Diceros bicornis minor: one gene and its partner. The protein of the gene in region 1 purifies or fractionates together with the protein of each later gene. This does not show direct contact. Links are inferred from orthologs where the notes say so. Each region holds a gene or a part of one and is shown on either strand. Other genes may lie near its edges.

Region 1 (9,226 bases):
TCCTAGAATACATCACACCCTTTCACACCTTTATACATTTGTATTGTATCTTAATTACTTATTAATGTCATTGTCTCCAGATTCTAAGCCCTCCAGCCCACTTTGTGGATATGTATTATTATTATTATTTTTGGTAAGAAAGATTAGCCCTGAGCTAACATCTGTTGCCAATCCTCCTCTTTTTGCTGAGAAAGACTGGCCCTGAGCTAACATCTGTGCCCATCTTCCTCTATCTCACGTGGGACGCCTGCCACAGCATGGCTTGATGAGCGGTATGTAGGTCTGCGCTCAGGATCTGAACCTGCGAACCCTGGGCCACCGAAGCGGAGCGTGTGAACTTAACCGCTACACCACCAGGCCAGCCCCATGGATATGTATTATTAATGCTTGTATCCTGTCCTGAACAGTATACAGCACAGTTCTTCACATATAGAACATATTTAATATTATTAAATAAATGAACATCATTTTAAAATTTATTTATATAAGGGCTGCTCTGTGGTCCAGATGTGTTTCCAGGAACAGGGATATAAAGAAGAGCTCCTACCCTCAAGGAGCTTGCAGTTGAATCAGGAAAGTCAGACATGTAATAACTGCTGTAAGGGAAAAAATAAAGCACTTTTACACATATTATTTCATTTAGTCCATATGATAAAGCTTTAATGTTGATATTCTCATCAACATTAGCCCCATTGAGCCCACAAAGAAGCTCAGGCTGTGAGAGTTTAGGAAACTTGCCCAAGATCATTTAGCTAATGAAGTGGCAGAGGCTGGACAGCAACTGAGGTGCTCTGTCCTCCAGGGTTCCTGCATCTGCTACTCTGCCTCTCATCTCACGCTCTTGCTCTTACCTTGTTCGCATCTTTAAATGCTCACTGTACAAATTAGCAGTGTGAAGCAGATAAGTAGGTTTATCTTTTTTTCTATTGGATAATTCTCTCTTTCTCTCATCTCCTCCCTGCAAAAATCAAATTTTGGTGATTTAATTTTCAAAAACTTGTGTCATAAGCCGGGTATGCAGAGATGGGAATTGGAACCTAGCTCTTGTGACTCTTTTTTTTTTTTTTGTGAGGAAGATCAGCCCTGAGCTAACATCCATGCCGATCCTCCTCTTTTTTTTGCTGAGGAAGACAGGCCCTGAGCTAACATCTATTGCCAATCCTCCTCCTTTTTTCCCCTTTTTCTCCCCAAAGCCCCAGTAGGTAGTTGTATGTCATAGTTGCACATCCTTCTAGTTGCTGTATGTGGGACGCCACCTCAGCATGGCCAGATAAGCGGTGTGTCGGTGCGCACCCGGGATCCGAACCCGGGCTGCCAGGAGCGGAGCGCGTGCACTTAACCGCTACCTTGTGACTCTTAATTGAGTGATTTGTTTTGACTGCACACATACTTTTCAATCACTCACCTTAAATTTTTGACTGCCAAGACAGCAACAATATCACCTGGTGACAGCACACGCAAAGTCTTCTGGGGTTGGGGTACGGGGAAGATGATTTGAAAAGACTGAGGAAGGTGCATGTGCTTTTAAAAGGCTCATATCCATTTTCACAATGCAAGTAATGAAGGGTGAATTTGGAAATGATGGGCAATAAATTGATAATGGGCACATTATATTTTAAGATGTATTATACAAGGAGTCTAAATTTGCTATAAATACTTTTATAACAAATTACTGAGTTTAAAAGCAGTGTTCATGTTATATATAGCCACTTAAGTTTTGGATAAAAAGGAAAGGAATTTTAAAGATTTTATTTATTTATTTTCCTCCCAAAGCCCCAGTAGATAGTTGTATGTCATAGTTGCACATCCTTCTAGTTAATGTACGTGGGACGCGGCCTCAGCATGGCCGGAGAAGCGGTGCGTCGGTGCGCGCCCGGGATCCGAACCCGGGCCGCCAGGAGAGGAGCGCGCGCGCTTAACCACTAAGCCACGGGTCCGGCCCAGGAAAGGAATTTTAAAAAATCCTTTTGATTATTGTGGAAACATTCATTTTTCTTTTGATGTTTCAGATTTCCCTTTTCAGACCAAGGAAAGCAAACTCTGTAAGAACACAGAATGTCCTTCTTTGACCTCTATGACTTGTCTAATTATTTGTATTTCTATCTCGGCACAATGAACAAGGTTAAAAGCCTTCTAGCCCTTTCCCACAAGAGAGTAATAGCTAATAATTGGGAGCTTGCAGGTCTATAAATATAGTATTTTATAACATTCCCTGTGACTTTTCAATGATACATTTTGAGAATTACCTAATGTTTTGAATATTTTGCTCAAATTTTCATTTTTGGTTCTGATTATGGTAGGGAGTTCAATGCTATTACTGAGTTCTGTTACATATGAACACATCTAGATTGTATCACAGTAGACTAAAATATGCTGGGAAGCAGACAACTACAAATTGCAGTGGCTTAACACAACAGAAGTTTATTTCTCCAATTGAATATCCACATGCAAAAAGATGAATACAGACTATACCTCACAGTGTACACAAAAATGAACTCAAAATGGATCACAGACTTAAACGTAAGAGCTAACCCTATAAAACTTATAGAAGAAAACATAATAGAAAATCTTTGTGATCTTGGGTCAGACAAAGAGTTCTTAGATATAACATCAAAAGCATATGGCACTAAAAAAAAGACAAATTGGATTTCATCAAAATTAAAAAACTTTTTGTACTTCAAAAGACTCCATTAAAGAATGAAAAGAGAAGCCATAGACTGGGAGAAAATATTTGCAAACCGTGTGTCTGATAAAGACTTGTAACCAGGATATATAAAGACCTCTTATAACTTGATAATAAGAAGACAAACAGCCCAGTTAAAAAATGGGTAAAAGATCTGAATAGACGCTTCACCATAGAAGATATAAGAATGGCTAATAAGCACATGAAAAGATGCTCAACATCATTTGTCATTAGGCAAATACAAATTGAAACCACTTCACTCCCACTGGAGTGGGAAAAATCAAAAGATAGACAATAACAAGTATTGGTGAGGATGTGAAGAAATCAGAACCCTCACACATTGCTTGTACCTTGGAAAATAGTTTTGCAGTATCTTATAAAGTTAAACATAAACTTACCGTACAACACAGTAATTCCACTTCTAGGAATCTACCCAAGAAAAATAAAAACAAATATCTACACAAAGACTTGTACACAAATGTTCATAGCAGCATTATTCATAATAGCCAAAAATTGAAAACAATCCAAATGTGCATCAAGTGGTGAATGGAAACAAAATACAGTACATCCATACAATGGAGTACTCTTCAGCAACATAAAGTAAAGAACTACTGACACATCGTACAACATGTATGAACCTCAACAATACTGTGCTGAGTGAAAGAAGCTAGACTAAAAGACCACATATAGTATGAGTCCATTTATACAAAATGGCCAGAAAAGGCAAATCTATAGACGGATAGCAGACTGCCTGGGACTGGGAATGGGAACAGGGACTGATTGCAAATGGGCACAAGTATTTTTGGGATGGTGGAAATGTTCTAAAACTGGTTGTGGTGATGGTTGCACAACTCTAGTCTCTGCTTATTGTAGTCATTTAGGGACACAAAATGACAGATGTTCTATCTCACACATGCTTCCATGATCACCACAGCAGGGAGGAGGGGAATGTGCCTCTGCCTCTTAAAGATTTTCCTAGGAAGTGATACACATCGCTCCCCCTCTCATTTTATTGGCAAAAACAAGTTACATGGCCATGCCTAACTTCAAGGGTGCAAGAGGGTGAAATTCTACTATGTGTCTGGAAGAGAGGAGAACCAGAATTTTTGTAAACAACCCAAATGACTGTCACAGAAATAAATAACAACAACAATAAATGGCACAGTTTACTCTGACTGGAGTTACTTTGCTTTGTACTTCTGAGGCACTTGCTGATATTTGTCTCTTCTTAAAGTCCTAATCCATTGCATGTTGCATAGTTAACAGAAATTTCTAAGACCACAGCTATAGGCTTTCTTTGCATTTTACTGTGACTCCCTCAGTGCCCTTGATTCTCTGAGCATCTGGTTTCCTTAAATTAAATGATTGCACTTTTGCACTCATATGTTCACACAGAATAAGTTTTTTTTTTTTTAAATAGACAGGCATCATTCACTTCTCTAATGTATAACGGATTAGAATACTTCTTGTGGCTACAGAGGCCAAAAAGTTAGACCAGTAAGTGAAAATTATCGGAAGGCAGATTGTACATCTATATAAAGAAGAATTTTCTAATTATTAGTGTTTCGGAAATTGAAATGACTGTTTCTGAGGTACTGAACCACTGAAGATGTTGAAGTTGAGGCTTGATGATCGCTTGAGAGAAACACTGAGGAGAACTCAGACCAAACGTTCTCCCAAACTGATGTTCTGTGATTAGGCTTAGCAACACAGGAAAAATACCTGGTTGCATAATGTTTGTATCCATTTTTGGCCTGCACCTATTTTTTTAAGTCAAAACTCTCCTCAACCAAAAGTGTGAAGGGCATTGAGGACGAATTTATGAGAAACTATGTTATAATAGAAGTCACAGAAAGTGAAACTTGAAAAGTAGCAGATAGAGTGAGGCTATAGTTAAGACAGATTTAAAATCCGATTAGGACTATTAGCCAGGAGAAGCAAAGCAGTGGAAAGGTATGACTAAAATAGTTAAAATATTGAAGGATGTGGATAAAATGAATATGTTTATTGACCTAATTCTGAGATCACAGGCTGAGGGAACCCCCTTGGAAATATGAGCAAAGTGAGTTTAGGCCACAAGAGGTACTTTTTCAGCGCGAGAGAAAACATGGTATTAATTATCCCGGTGATGTAATACGAGACAAAAGTATAAAATGATTTTTAAAATATTTTGACAAAGTTACAAACAAAGGTACCACAGGTGGCTACTAAGAGGAGCTGGGTTGTATCGAAGCACAAGTCAAAGAGACAAGCATGCACTCTCAGGCTGTCACCTGAGGCCCCTGTGGGCAGCAGAATATTGGCAGGCTAAGGGTCTGCCCTCGGATGAAAAAGTTCTGTATTCCGAAAAGAAACCACTTTGCACGGAATTATTCTCAGATTTCATCACAATTAGGGAGGATCTGCAAGGAAGATAAACAGAAAAACCTTTCATCGTCAGGGGAAAAAAGTCCGAAAATCTTCTATATAAGCAGCTGCTGCTAAGAAGGAATTTGGGGCTGGACAATAATCGCCGAACACAATTTAATTCTGACATTCAGGGTCTCCTCCCCGCTGAAGGAAATTCGAACAGCAGGCCTCAGCGTGAAGATAGAAGAAACGTGCTTTATCTGAGGTTTTCTCCACGGAAAGGAAATCGGAACGGCAAGAGGTAGAGAGCACCGTCCCATTTCTCAGGAAAAGAATACGCACAGTGAAAGTCAGACGCGACGCTTTCCTTCACGAGAGTCAGCAGTGGCACAGCCAAAGGTCTGGAGCGCAGCGCTATTGTGTTAGCGCCGGCGGCGGAAGGACTTAGCCCCACCGCAAAGTTAAAGAGTCCTTCTTTGTTCAGCTTCGGCCGGGGACGCAGGGCACGGTGTTCTTCCGCGCTGGCAGCGCAGTCCCCGCCCCCTCGCGGCCCTGGAGAGCTGCCATTCGGCACCGGAGTTGCTCCGCGCTCCCAGAATGCACCGGCAGTCCGCGGGAAACCAAAATGGCGAGGGGCTGTAGCGAAGTGGGCTGTGTTTGAGGCCGGTGTAAGAACGCTCACTCTATCCCCAGCCCTCGTCCCCAGGACCTTGGTTTGTGCGTGTGTATGTGTGGGTTGCCTGGTGGGGCGGGTGCCCAATAAGTGCTCGGACTCGCAGGGGAAGCGCCCACGGGGACGTTATTGGTTGTTTTTTCCTGTATGAAGCGGTTGGCACCACTGAAGTGACCGAATGAGGTGAGAGACCTTGGCCTGGGAACCAGGCTCTTCCGGGGGAGGTGGGTGGGGGAGGAAGAAAGGAAGCAAGTATAAAAGGGAAAGATGGAGGATCGAAGTGGGGGTGGGGGCTCCAGTTTGTGTATGTGGGTGTCTTGCATTTATGTATATGTTGAAAAGAATGGATAGAAAGGAGTAGTCAGTTGGGTGTTGGAGAAAATGTGGACTAAAGGAGCGAGCAGGGCGTTGGGGAAGTCGTTTGGAGGAACAAGATGAAGCCTTGAGACGGGGAAGCTGTGTTTGGAGGGGCAGGAAGGAACCTGGGGGCGGGAGACGGTTGGAGGGGCAGGATGAACCTGGTGATGAGGGGGTGGGGAACCGAGAGGAGGAGCCGTTAGGAAATGGGGACTGATGGAGATGTGGGGAGCAGAGTGATGGGCCTGCCTGGGACCTTAGAGGGCGCAAAGGGAAGTAGCAGCTTGGAACCGGAGGGTGGTGGAATTGTATGGAATTGGAGTATGGGGGTAGATTAGAGTAAAAGGGCAGAATGGAGTACGAGGATAAGGGGAACACTAAGTGGAGCCTGGGAGCAAACACTGAAAGCTTAAAGGGAAGAAGTGGGAGGGACAGTGTGAGATGGGGGAGAGGTATCTTATATTTGGAGTGCACCAAAAAATCTGAGGCAATTCTTCTATTTAATGAAATCTAACTCATATCCCCGCTCAGATGTAGATTTGTATTAGTGTATTCATTTTTACAACTGATGTAGTTACGGTTTAAGGGATTTTAACTAATTTGCCAACACAACATATTTTGGTAGTGCCAGAACTCTTAACTCTGTGCGTTTTACAATCTGGTGTCCTTGATGGCTAGAATTTTTCTTTGGAAGCAACTAGAGGGAACAGATGGATTTATCGGGATAATGTGACGATCGGTGAGAGTTAGTGAACAATGGGAAAAAGAATATGGAATGTTATTCTATTCTTTAAAACATTTAACTTTGGTTAAAGATATAACCCATTTACTAATTCAAATATGGAAACCTAGGTAGGCCTATGTATAACGTAAGAAAGCGCCATGTGAGGTCAGTACAGAACTAGAAATATGTAAATAGTGCCTGATTTAATTTGACTCCAGATGCTCCGGTAGTAGTAACTTTCTCCTTCAGATTGATTCCATGTGACCCTCCTGTATACCTTGCCTACAGTCTGGTTTCAATTTCCATGTTTTCATTCTCTTGACAATTCCTGTTTTTGGCAGTGGATTTCAAAGACAGTGAATTTAAAATTATTAAATATGGATAAAGTAAAATATACTTAAATTCTTAAGTGACCTTTCAAAGGTTTGAAAATGGTTTAAATGGAGCCATTTTGATTAACAGCTTTAGGTCCCCAGTCGTTTTGGCAAGGGAAGAATTGATTTTAAATTTCTTAACAGAGCATTATATTCTTGATATTTGAAGTGTTATTCACACTCCAAGCATTTGCAGTGATAGCTTTGAGAGAGAATACCAGGTGAAATTTTTTGTTTTTGTTTTTTTAGGTTCCTAAATATAAAAATGTATTTGAATTCACATTTTAAATTTGCTCACCTTCACTTTTTTTTTGAAGTGCTATAAATATTGTAAAGTATTTGAATTGAGTGCACCTGTTTCCTGATACTGCATATTCACATTAAAGGGTACTAACGGAAATCTGTGCCTATCAGGATGAAATGCACACACAATTTTCGAACTAGAAGTGTAGAAATCATCTGGTTAAACCTTTTCTTAGATGAAATAAAATATATTTAATAATCCTTTTAATTGTGCCTTTTGCCTCAAAGCTCAGTTCGGAAAGGGATTTTATTCTGTGTATTTTGCTGTGGGTCATAAACTCTTTGATGTCATGGATTATAAGTATACCTTTTCATTAGATTCTTGACTGAATGGATAGTTTGCTTTATTCATATTTCACCATAATGTTTACATCTGACTTAGGAAACTGACAGTATGGTGATAATCTATTTTAACATGGGGAAATTTGCCTCTGAGGAGTTGCCCTGGCCGACATCTGTAGCTTGGTGATTCTGAAAGTAAAATTTAACTGCTGTTTTAGTTAGTCTACACTTCCTTGAATGATATTCCTTGCTTGATCTTTTTATGCTCTGTTTCCCCTGTTCTTCAGGATTTGTTTATCGCAGTAAAATACAGTATAACAACCCTCAATTGAAATGTGAAAGGTTTCTGTGGGTGTTTTTTTTTTATGTATTAGGATAGTGCTATCTAATAGAACTTTCTGCACTGATGGCAGTGATCTGTATCTGGTCTATCCAGTTTGATAGCCAATAGCCACATGTGGGATGTTGAACGCTAGAAATGTAACTAGTGAGACTGAGAACTGAATTTATAATTTAATTTAATTCATTAAAACTAAAATTTAAATGGCCATATGTATCTAGTGGCTGCTGTATTGGACAGCACAGTATTAGAGGTTATTACATCTATTTATTAGGAATTGTCACGTCCATTAACCATGGAAACCACAGGAACCAAAGGGTAAGGAACTATCTTAGAACTAAGGAGATTGAAATTTTCTTTGTACATTTTTAAGATGAAGTATTCTTCATTTTTGCCACACACAATGTCTTCTGTCATATCTCTGTTTTCATATAACATTGCAAAAGAATAATGGTCTCAATTTCTCTGGGCTTTTTAATATTTAAGACTCTTTTTCCTTTGTCAAAAAACAACAAAAATGGGTGTTAGGAAAATTAGTTTACTTTGTTATTTTTAAAAAAATTTACCTTGTTACTGTTACAGATCAGTAAAAAAACTTTTTATTAAGGAAAATTTTGAATGTATACAAAGTGAACAGAGTAGTATAATGAACTTTTTTGTATCCATGCTTGTTTCATCTGTACCTCTACCCACTCCCCAGTCTACTTCATTGTTTTAATTATTTTTTAAAGTTTTTTTGAAGTAAAATTTACGTATATTGAAATGCACAAATCTTAACTGTACACTTTTTAAATAATAGATTTATTGAGATATAATGCACATATATTTATATATGTACATAGTTCACAGGTACTTTACCCTTTTAAGGTACAATTCAGTGATTCTAGTATATTCAGAGTTGTACAACCATCACCATTATCTAATTTCAGAACATTTTCATCACCCCAAAATAAAAATCTGTATCCGTTAGCAGTCCCTCTCCATTTTTCCCTCCGCCTTCCTCTGGCAAGCACTCATGTATTTTTTATGTTTATATTTTGCCTGTCCTGGACATTTCATATAAATGGAGTCATACAATTTTGTGGCCTTTCGTGTCTGGCTTCTTTCCCTTAGCATAATGTTTTCAGAGTATATCCATGTT
Region 2 (9,307 bases), on another chromosome or scaffold:
CCCTGAGCAAATCACGACATCTTAATATTTCACTTTCACATTGGAAGAGTGAGGACGATAATACCTATCTTAATCCGGGTTGTTTTGTGGATTAAATGATATTTTTATGACTGTGCTTTAAACACTATAAAAAGTTACACAAATGAAAGGTACCATTAGATATCACAGAGAAATAGAAGGTTACATTAGGAAACTAATAATGTACGAGCATAAAGACACTTGCCCTAGCAACCCTTACTCAACAATTGTGTATTTAAATCTACTTAGGGGCCAGAACTGAAAGGGGAACCAGGAAGCACAGTACTGCAAAGGTCAAAGTAGGATTAGAGCACGTTGGATCCAGAAATGTCTTTGGTGATAATTGAATTTAACCTATCTATAGATGCTGAAGCTGAGGCCCAGTGGGGCCAAATAAATGGTTTACGGTCACTCAGAAGGTTAATATTAGAGACATCTGATTCCCATCCAGTGATTGGCCTCATAGCCAAAGGCTGCCTCAATATAAGACAAATCACGGCCCCGTGAAATTTTCAATCTACTTAGGAAGGACAGATATACAAATGGCATAATCAGAAAACAAGGCAACATGGAATACAATTTTAAAGCTCAAAAAATGTGGCTGATGGTAACTATGTAAGGTGATGGACATGTTAATTAGCTGGACTGTAGTAGTCATTTCAAAACGAATATGCATATCAAAACATCATGTTGTGTATCTTAAATATATGCAATTTTTTTTTCTCTTGAAATGTGGCTGAAGTAACAGGGGCAATGAGAATCGAGAAATGAGGCAGCCAAGCAGTCAGGCTGAACCGGAGACAGGACCGGAACTGGGGCCTGGAAGCATGCACCGCACTGTGCTGGATGTGGGTACTCTAAGACGAGAAACAGCAGCGCTCCAAGATGGAACTGGGCATGACAGCAACAGACTAAATGGCTGGCAGTAGTCTGAATAATCAGGCATCACAGTTTTGGTGAAACATTCAACAGTAAGCATTTACTGGACACTTCCAAAATCGATGAAGTTTCTGAAGCTTTGGGGAGGACATGAGAAGTAGACAACATGGTCTCTGACTTTAGAAAGCTTATTTTTGTATTTGGAGAGAAGAGATGGGAACATGAGAAAAATTGGAGAATGTAAGCAAAAGTCAGTATACAATGCAAAGGGGTGAAATATGTGAAATAAGGAAGGATTTTTGGAGAAGATGAATCTTGAGTTATCCCTTAGGAGAACCATGGATGTGATTGGAGTCTGGAAGCACGTGGAATAACCTGTCATCCCCTGCATTAAGAGGGGAATTTCAATATGCATATACTATAGGACTATGGATTTATTCCTCTGTACTTGATCTTTATTAACTAATTAATTTTTTCTCTGTCATTTTTTATAGTAAATCAAACGGTGGACTAGAATGCTTCATTAATTATGATTGCCCATACAGATTTGAACCCAGAATAGAGAAGGCCTGCTCTTATTTGTGTCTGATGATTTGTTACTTCTTCCTCTTTTACCTCTATCATGTTCCCATTCTTCCTAGAGTGGATAATGGATCTAATTAAAAGAGCATAAAAGGTAAGATTAAGGAATCATTTTAGACTCTACCCTGCTAGTCACCATTCCTTCCAGCTAACCAGTTCCCAAGCCCCACGGACTTTTGACATTCTAAATAACATTCTCAACCTGTTCTCTGCTCTGTATTTCCTCTGCCACTGGATTCAGATTTTAACCATTTCTTACCTCATTTATGCAATAACATTGCAACTGGTTTCTAGGTCTTCCTGCCCCCAGTCTCTCTCTCTTCTTCATATATTTTTTTTTTTTTTTTTTTTTTTTTTTGTGAGGAGATCAGCCCTGAGCTAACATCCGCCAATCCTCCTCTTTTTTTGCTGAGGAAGACGGCCCTGGGCTAACATCCGTGCCCATCTTCCTCCACTTTATATGGGACGCCGCCACAGCATGGCTTACCAAGCAGTGCGTCGGTGCGCGCCCGGGATCCGAACCAGCGAACCCCGGGCCGCCGCAGCGGAGCGCGCGCACTTAACCGCTTGCGCCACCGGGCCGGCCCCTCTCTCTCTTCTTCAATCCTCAATTTCATCTCTCACACAATCAGAATTACTTTTCAAAAATGCAAATCTGCTTTCTACCTCCAGTAAAAATCCTCCTAAGTTTCTTTTTAGACTACAGGCAAAGTCCAAACTCTTTGTCTGGCATACAGAACCTTTCTGGTCCTGGCTCCTGCTTACCTCTCAGTCTCATCTTTGGTCACTGCCAAACAAAAATTGACTCCCATCCATAAGTGTGGTATTTTTTTTTTTTTTTTTGAGGAAGATTGGCCCTGAGCTAACATCCATTTGCCAATTTTCCTTTTTTTTTTTTTTTTTCCTCCTCAAAGCCCCCAGTATGTAATTGTATATCCTAGTTGTAGGTCCTGCTAGTTCTTCTAAATGGGACGCCGCCTCAGCGTGGCTTGATGAGCGGTGAGTAGGTCCACACCCAGGATCCGAACCAGCAAACCCAGGGCCGCCAAAGCAGAATGCTCAAACTTAACTGCTGTGCCACCAGACCAGCCCCTCATGATTTTTTTTCATGCTGTAAAGTTGCTTGGCTTATTTCAAACTGCTGAACTCCCTACTCATCCTTCAAAACTTCCTAATTCCTGGTCACTTCAGCTGTGCGTTCCCTTTAGCTCCTTTTCCATATTGCTAATACAGCGCTTTTTAGAGGTATCACAATCGATTGTTAAATCTGCCTTTTCTACTGAGCTGTGTGTTTCTTAACAAAGGACTTTCAGACTTTTAGTGCTGGCACATAACGTCCTTTAGAAGAAATGTACCTAGTGAGGTCCACCCACCCCTGAACTCCAGACTTGAAGGGGTCAAAAGGAGAACTGTGAGGAGTTAAAATCATCAGGAGAGAGAGTGAATTAGACTTACAGAAAACGAAAAAGAGGAGGAAAAAGAAAGGAAAGGTAATATATGGCCTTGCCAAGATGACAGGGAAAGGATGTTCATCAGGAGACAGTTACTTCCACAACAGGAAAGGACTTCAACTGCTAAAAAGGCCAATCTATTTTCCTTTTCAGGGAAAACAACACTAATGTTATCCAAATCTTTTGGAAATGAGCAAATTCCTTCCTTTCCCCTGCCCTCAAGCCTCCACTAGGAGAATGGTCTTTAGTACGCGGCGACCTGGAGCTGGTAGCCCAGCAGGGGAGTTCACAGGCCCGGGACGAGAAGCCCAGCCTCCGGGCTAGCTAAGGGAACCAAGAAGAAACCCACCTTTGTTCTTTAATATTTTACCTGGGCAATGACAGATCTGACATTAAACCTCCAGAAAGCTGGTTAAACCATAACAGTGTGGAGAAGTGGAGACCTCAGAAAGTCTTCTGAAAACACCTCGTTGTAACCTAACCATAAAGTCACTTGGGTGGCCAATCCTGAAAAGTGGAGTCTGTTCTAGGGAGTCCTTCCCAGCCAATGGCACCAGCCAACAAGTTTTGTAATATCAAGGGACAGAAGGTCATTTATTTTTCTGATCGTGAAATGAACATAAGACAAAAGGATTTCATTTTACAAAGCGTTCAGATTTTTTAAAAAGGTAAAGTCATAATTAAAAAGCCTTTAGAAAAAGCACTTAATTTCATTTCCTGAAAGCTTCCAATAACGTGTCTGGTTCTTAGCGGGGTTAACGTCTTGGTCATCACTAATTTGTAGATGAGGAAACTGACAAGCTCAGGAAAGCCATCAGTTACCTTTAAGCAAGTGGCTAAGGTGTAATTTGAATATAAGTCTCCTACCCCCAGTTTCTGAGCCCGTTCTCGACCGTGGTTATCCCTTCCAACAGCACTGCAAATAAAATCTAACAATGGTGTTACCGGAGTATTTATACCTTTCAAGGCAAGGAGAATCTTAGAAATAGGCAGGAAAATAAAATGGATAGGGATGAGGATGAGGGGGCACTGACGCCACTTTTCATTTATTCAGAGGCTAGCCTGAGAGGAGGTCATTTAAGACATCACTTCTCCAAAACAAGGAAATTAACAATGCAGAATGGCTACGTGAGACTTGACAAAGTTGTTAATACGGCGAAAGCCCGAAGAGATACACCCGGGGCTGCTACTTCATTTATATCAGCGATTAGACAACCACAACAGGGGGCAGAGGCAGGTAAGAAGCAGGCTCTCGCGTGGCTACCGCAGCTGATAGTCCTGGCACTCGGCGTTCCAGATGCTTCCTTACAGTTTGCCTGTCTGGGTGGCTCGGTCTCCATATTCCACCCATTTCCACCTCCACGTTTCGGTCTCGCTCATGGGCACCCCAGACGCGAAATACGCCAGGAAAGGCAAAGATCGTGCTCATCTCGTTCAGGGCGGTTGTCTTTTGTGGGAGGCAGCCGCCCGAGGTGCCCTTTCTGGCCACCCCCGCGCAGTCCTCGCCCGCCGGGCCGCGTGCCGCGTGCCGCGCCCGGAGGTGGCCTTTCCGCACGGCCCAGCCGGCCGCCCCGCGCGTGCGGCCGTGGGGCGCGGGCAGAGGTGACCTCAGACCACCCCGAGCCCGACCGCGGCGCGCTCCGTGCGAATACGCGAGGCGCTGTCCTGAGGTGACACCGGCTGCGCAGCAGAGGCAGCAGGCGCCGCCGATCAACTAGTTCGCACCGAGGATTCCTCTTGGTGCGTGGCCCAGTTTTCCTTAGGACGGGCTCCAACCCCTCGCTGACACCGCCCCCCGCGCCGCCACGCTCCGAGGCCTTCCCCCGGGAAGCCTCGCGTCCCTCCCCCGCCGCTCGGCTCGGGCCGGCGCGCGCGCGATTCCTCGATTCCACAGGCGGTTCGCGCCGCGGGTGGGGGCGGGGCGCGCGGGGAGGGGGCCGGCCGCCGCGGAAGGAGGGGGGCCGCGGCTGGGGGGCGGGGGCGGGCCGGCGTGGGGAGTTCCTCGCTCGCGGACCACACGCTCTGCGGGCCAATCCCGAGCCAGCCTCTAGCAGTGTCGCACGCGGGACACGTCCAAGCGTTTGCTGGCAGGGCCGGGGAGGGGGAGGGGGAGAGGAGGAGGGAGGGGAGTTGAGTGACAGGCTTGCGGGGCAGGCTGGGAATTGTAGTTCCCAGCTCCCGTGGCCATAGCCATTTTGTAGTCGGGGGACTACAACTTCCAGAAGATCAAGGGGACCATTCTAAGGTGCCCCGGGAATAGGCGGCCCTCCCCCAGGCCGGGCGTCCTGGGGCACTCGTACCCAGCAGCCCGGCTGCAGGTAGACGCCAGGGCAGTGGCGGGGGCCAGCGTGTGGCGGCTGTGGGGTGAGCGGCAAGCTGGGGAAAGGGGGTGAGGTGGAGCGACCGAGCGTGCCATGCATTGAGCTAGGGAGCCTCTCTCAATTCCACTCCTAGGCTCGGCGTGGGAGCGATGCCTGAGGGCTTGTCTGGGAAGGGTTCGTCGAGGCTTCTCGGGTGTCTAGTCGACGGGGCTGCGGGGATCCTCAGTACTGGGCCAGGGGCGGTCGTCGCCGGGCTAGGCGGGCGCCTGGTGGCTCAGCTGTGGGAGTTTTCGGCTAGCGTCCGGCGGGGAATTACTCGAGGAGCCCTAACTTGTATAAAAGCAGAGTCCATTTAAAGTTGGGCTGGATAGCCTCTCTCTCATTGGTTAGGGGGCTTGGAAAAAAGAGACTCGGCGAGCCCTCGCTGTGGTGCTGCCGCCGCCGCCGCCGCCGCTGGAGTTGACTCTTCTGCTCGCACTGCTGCTGCAGCACAAACGTGACTTCCAACATTTTTTATTTATCTTTCCCTTTTCTTTTCCAAGATGTAACTACAGATCAGACACTAAGGACCTTCACGTTTCGCTGATGTAGTTTTTGGAGGAAAAAGGGGGGGAGTGAAGGGCGTCGGTTTTTTTTGTGTGTGTGTTTCGGGGGAAATTTTCCATTATGAGTGTTTTACTAAAGTGAATTTTTTTTTGTTGTTTGCTTCGTTCGTCTTTGGCTCTTTTTTTTTTCCTTCCCAATTTCGGATTTATTTTAAGGCGAATCGGGCTTTGGGGGAAGAGGAAGAAAAGTCGGATTACAAGATCAACCACCACCAACAACAATAAAAACCACCAGGATATTTTTTTGCAAATTTCTGACGGCTTTAAATTCATGAAGCAATTGTCCCCTTTTGCAATCAGCATTTGGATCTCAGAATGAGCAAGGAAAGACCCAAGAGGAATATCATTCAGAAGAAATACGTAAGTGCTCGTAACAACACATCCTTTGACTTGCAGTTTTAAGCAATGGCTGTGAATGTCAAGTTTATAGATAATTCTGCAGCTGAAGGGTTTTAAACACAGCGTCCGATAAGGCTGTTTCTTTCTTTTCTGAAAGAGGGCTTTTCAGGCAAAGTCGTGTCTGCCTAGTTTGGATGAAAAAACATATTGGTGTAGCGATACCTCAAGTGAATATATTGACCTCGAATGACACAACCATAATCTAGTTTTAGATGAAAGGCAAGGGATTTTGGTGGAGCTTGGGGGGGCTGGGGGCTGCGGTAATGTAACTAAACTGCATTCTCAGGCGGATTTGGCCCCATATTGCACTTTGCATGCAAATGAGCCTGTGTTATTATTATTAATGTTATTTGGAAAATCGTGTAACGCGGGTGTGTTGGAAGCCCTTTAAGTTGCAATCGAGGGTCCGATTATGGCGATCTCGTTCCTTGCACTGGCACATCAAATTTAATGTATGTGGTCGTTTTGGCTTATCTGGTTCGCAGCATAAACCAGTTGGGAATCATGTTACAGCGAATGCATTTGTTGGGATTGACTTTAATAATGGGACTGGTTTTGTTTAAAAATTCATGGTTTCCAGTTTTAGGGGAAAAAGACATACAATATAGCTAATGTTTTTAAGTAGATATGTGAATGCATATGTAAGTGACTACAAATTTCTCTCTGTTCACTGGGCTTTGAATCACTGGGCTTTGAATCACTCTGAAATTGGGTGATTATTCAGAGATTTAAATGGTTTGGAATAGTTAAATTTGTTTTGTGCATAGTACAGCTACGTTTTGATTGGCATGGGGAGTGTTTTTGTTTTGTGTGTGGTGGCTTTTTTTTTTAAGTTTGGGGGGAGGGAGGGAAGAGGGGGACCGAGGGATTAACCAAATATGCACTCGAGTGATCCGTGATTAGCTGCGTGCTTTAAATCAGAGAACCCATTTTTTCAAAAAAAGGCCAAATGAACATACATTAGGAAATAATAGAACGTTATAAGAAAGTTTTATTTAACTCGAGTCAACAAATTGGTGTTCATATTTTCCCTTTTTGAGCAATGTGATGTGGGTAATGGGAGATGACCTTCGGGGCATTGGTTTTGTAAAAAATACATTTAATGGAAAAGCTGAATGCCTCTTCTGGAGGGCTGATCCTAATCTAGACACGTAAAGTTCAACTATGAAAGAAATGCAAGGTTAAATAATCGAGCCCAACTTAAAAAGCTGTACCCTAAAGAATTTAGAATTAAAATACATCCGCATTGCAGAGGACTGGGTAGAATGCAAAGGACGAGTTTAAACTCGGGCTGTAGAAACTGCATGGAGACAATCTTGCCTGGGAGCGTGGACGCCTTCCCGGGGCACGTCCGATTCGGGTGCAGCCACAAAGCAGATGGGCTAGAACTTGGACAAGAACCGCTCTCTCCACTCCTCCCCCCCACCCCACGCCATCCCAGACCTCGCCGAGTTGGAGAGCGGTGTGGGGTGGGATTTTTTGTTGCCGGTGGTCAGCGGATGGTGTCGAGTCCGGGCGTCCGGCCGCAAGCCCGGGGCCGGCGGCGGCCGCGGGAGGCAGAGCACGAGTTACCGCTGGGGGAGCGGAGCCCGTGTTCCCGACGTGCTCGCGCGGGCTGCGGCGGGGAGGGCGCGCGGGGGTCGCGGCGGGCTGGGCCGGGTTGGGCGGGCGCGCGCGCGGCCTGTAGGGGGCGGGCTGCGGGCTCCGGCTCGGCTCGGGCTCCGGGCTCCGGGCTCCGGGCGCCGGCCGGCTGCGGGTGGGTGGGGCGCGGGGCGGCGCGGCCCGCTGGGCCCGGGGGAGGGGAGCGGCGCGGGGCGGGGGCGTGCCGGGGGGCGGCGCGGCGCACAGCTGCAGCGGGCGCCCCCCACCGCGCGCACAGCCGAGCATGGCGGCGGCGGCCCGGCCGGCTCCCCGCGGCCCTGCCCGCGGCTCCAGTGCGGTCCCGAGAGCAACAGGTTAAGCCGGCGAGACGTCAGCGCGCCCCCTCCCCGCCCCCCGGTTCCTCCCCCGCCTGGCGCCGGCCTCCCCGCCCTCCGCCCCCCGCCGCTCCGGGTTCCCGGACGCTCCCGGCCGCGTTCTGTTGTCATTGTGACGTCACAAAGGGAAGGGCCCGGGTGGAACCTTCTCCTCCTCCTCCGTGACGTCAAAAGTCGGGCGGGAGGTTCCAGAGCGGCGGGGCGGCCGGGGGAGGAGGGAGTGGGGAGGAGGCGGGGGTTGCGGCGGAGCGGGGCTGCCGCGTGGGAGGAGGAAGAAGGGGAGGAGGATGCCATCGGTCTCTGCCTTCCGCCCCGAAACGCTGCGCTTCCCTCCAGGTGAGAGCGGGGAGCCCTTGGTCCCCACGGGAGTGCCCCCGACCCAGTTCTGATTCCATTTAGTGGATGGAGGGGAGCAGGAGGAGACGCCTTCTTTCTGCAGAAATGATTCCTCTGTTTCCAGGTCTGCTGATGGGGTGGCGTTACCACTGTGGTAGTTGTGTTTGCTCACCAACGCTTTGGAAAAGCCAGGAAACTTCATTCAGGGAAAGCCTTGCTCTGTAGGAGCACCATGTTGTAGATTTGGCCACCTTGTCACTTTAAGTCGTGTTTGGGGTGTCTTTGCAGAATGTGGCCGGATGCTTTTCTGGGTGATGCTGCACAGTAGAAACTGTTGCTCTTTCTGAAAGCCTTGCAATACCACGGAGGCGAGTGGCGCTCCTTCGCTGTGCCAGCTCTATATGCCTATTGAGTATCTTGGGGAGCCAGACGAGGGAAGACTTGTCATTAATAGGAGAGCACTGAAGTCTGAAGGTGTTCTGGGCTTAGTTGTTCTGAACAAGAGGCTCGCAGTCTCAGTCTATTTACTCTTCTGTAAAATGGAAAAAGTAGTACCTGCCTTTGTTACTTCACTTTATGTGAGAAGATTATGTGTGTGAGATAACCTGCGTGAAAGATGTAAAACCGTATGCTCTTTCTGTGTAAGGGGTGGCGTTATTACTTGAGCTGGTGGAAGGCAGCACATTTCCTACAATTGGTCTCAAAAGCCTTAGATGCCTGCCGCGTTGCCATTTAGTTTA

What was found.
Region 2: the proteins of MTF2 (region 1) and JARID2 purify together in Homo sapiens (affinity purification with mass spectrometry; 3 studies listed by BioGRID and IntAct, with this or other methods). This does not show direct contact. The link is inferred for Diceros bicornis minor from reciprocal best matches to the Homo sapiens genes MTF2 and JARID2.

What each region holds. Positions count from the first base shown.
Region 1 is NC_080743.1:29,190,513-29,199,738, forward strand, and holds the start of MTF2 (metal-response element-binding transcription factor 2), read left to right. Parts: upstream 1-5,643; 5' UTR 5,644-5,883; coding exon of another isoform or gene 5,884-5,888; intron 5,889-9,226. UniProt on the Homo sapiens protein: Polycomb group (PcG) protein that specifically binds histone H3 trimethylated at 'Lys-36' (H3K36me3) and recruits the PRC2 complex, thus enhancing PRC2 H3K27me3 methylation activity.
Region 2 is NC_080753.1:51,773,326-51,782,632, reverse strand, and holds the start of JARID2 (protein Jumonji), read left to right. Parts: upstream 1-5,184; 5' UTR 5,185-5,248; intron 5,249-5,274; exon of another isoform or gene 5,275-5,294; intron 5,295-5,523; exon of another isoform or gene 5,524-6,012; 5' UTR 6,013-6,171; coding exon 6,172-6,216; intron 6,217-8,548; exon of another isoform or gene 8,549-8,567; intron 8,568-9,307.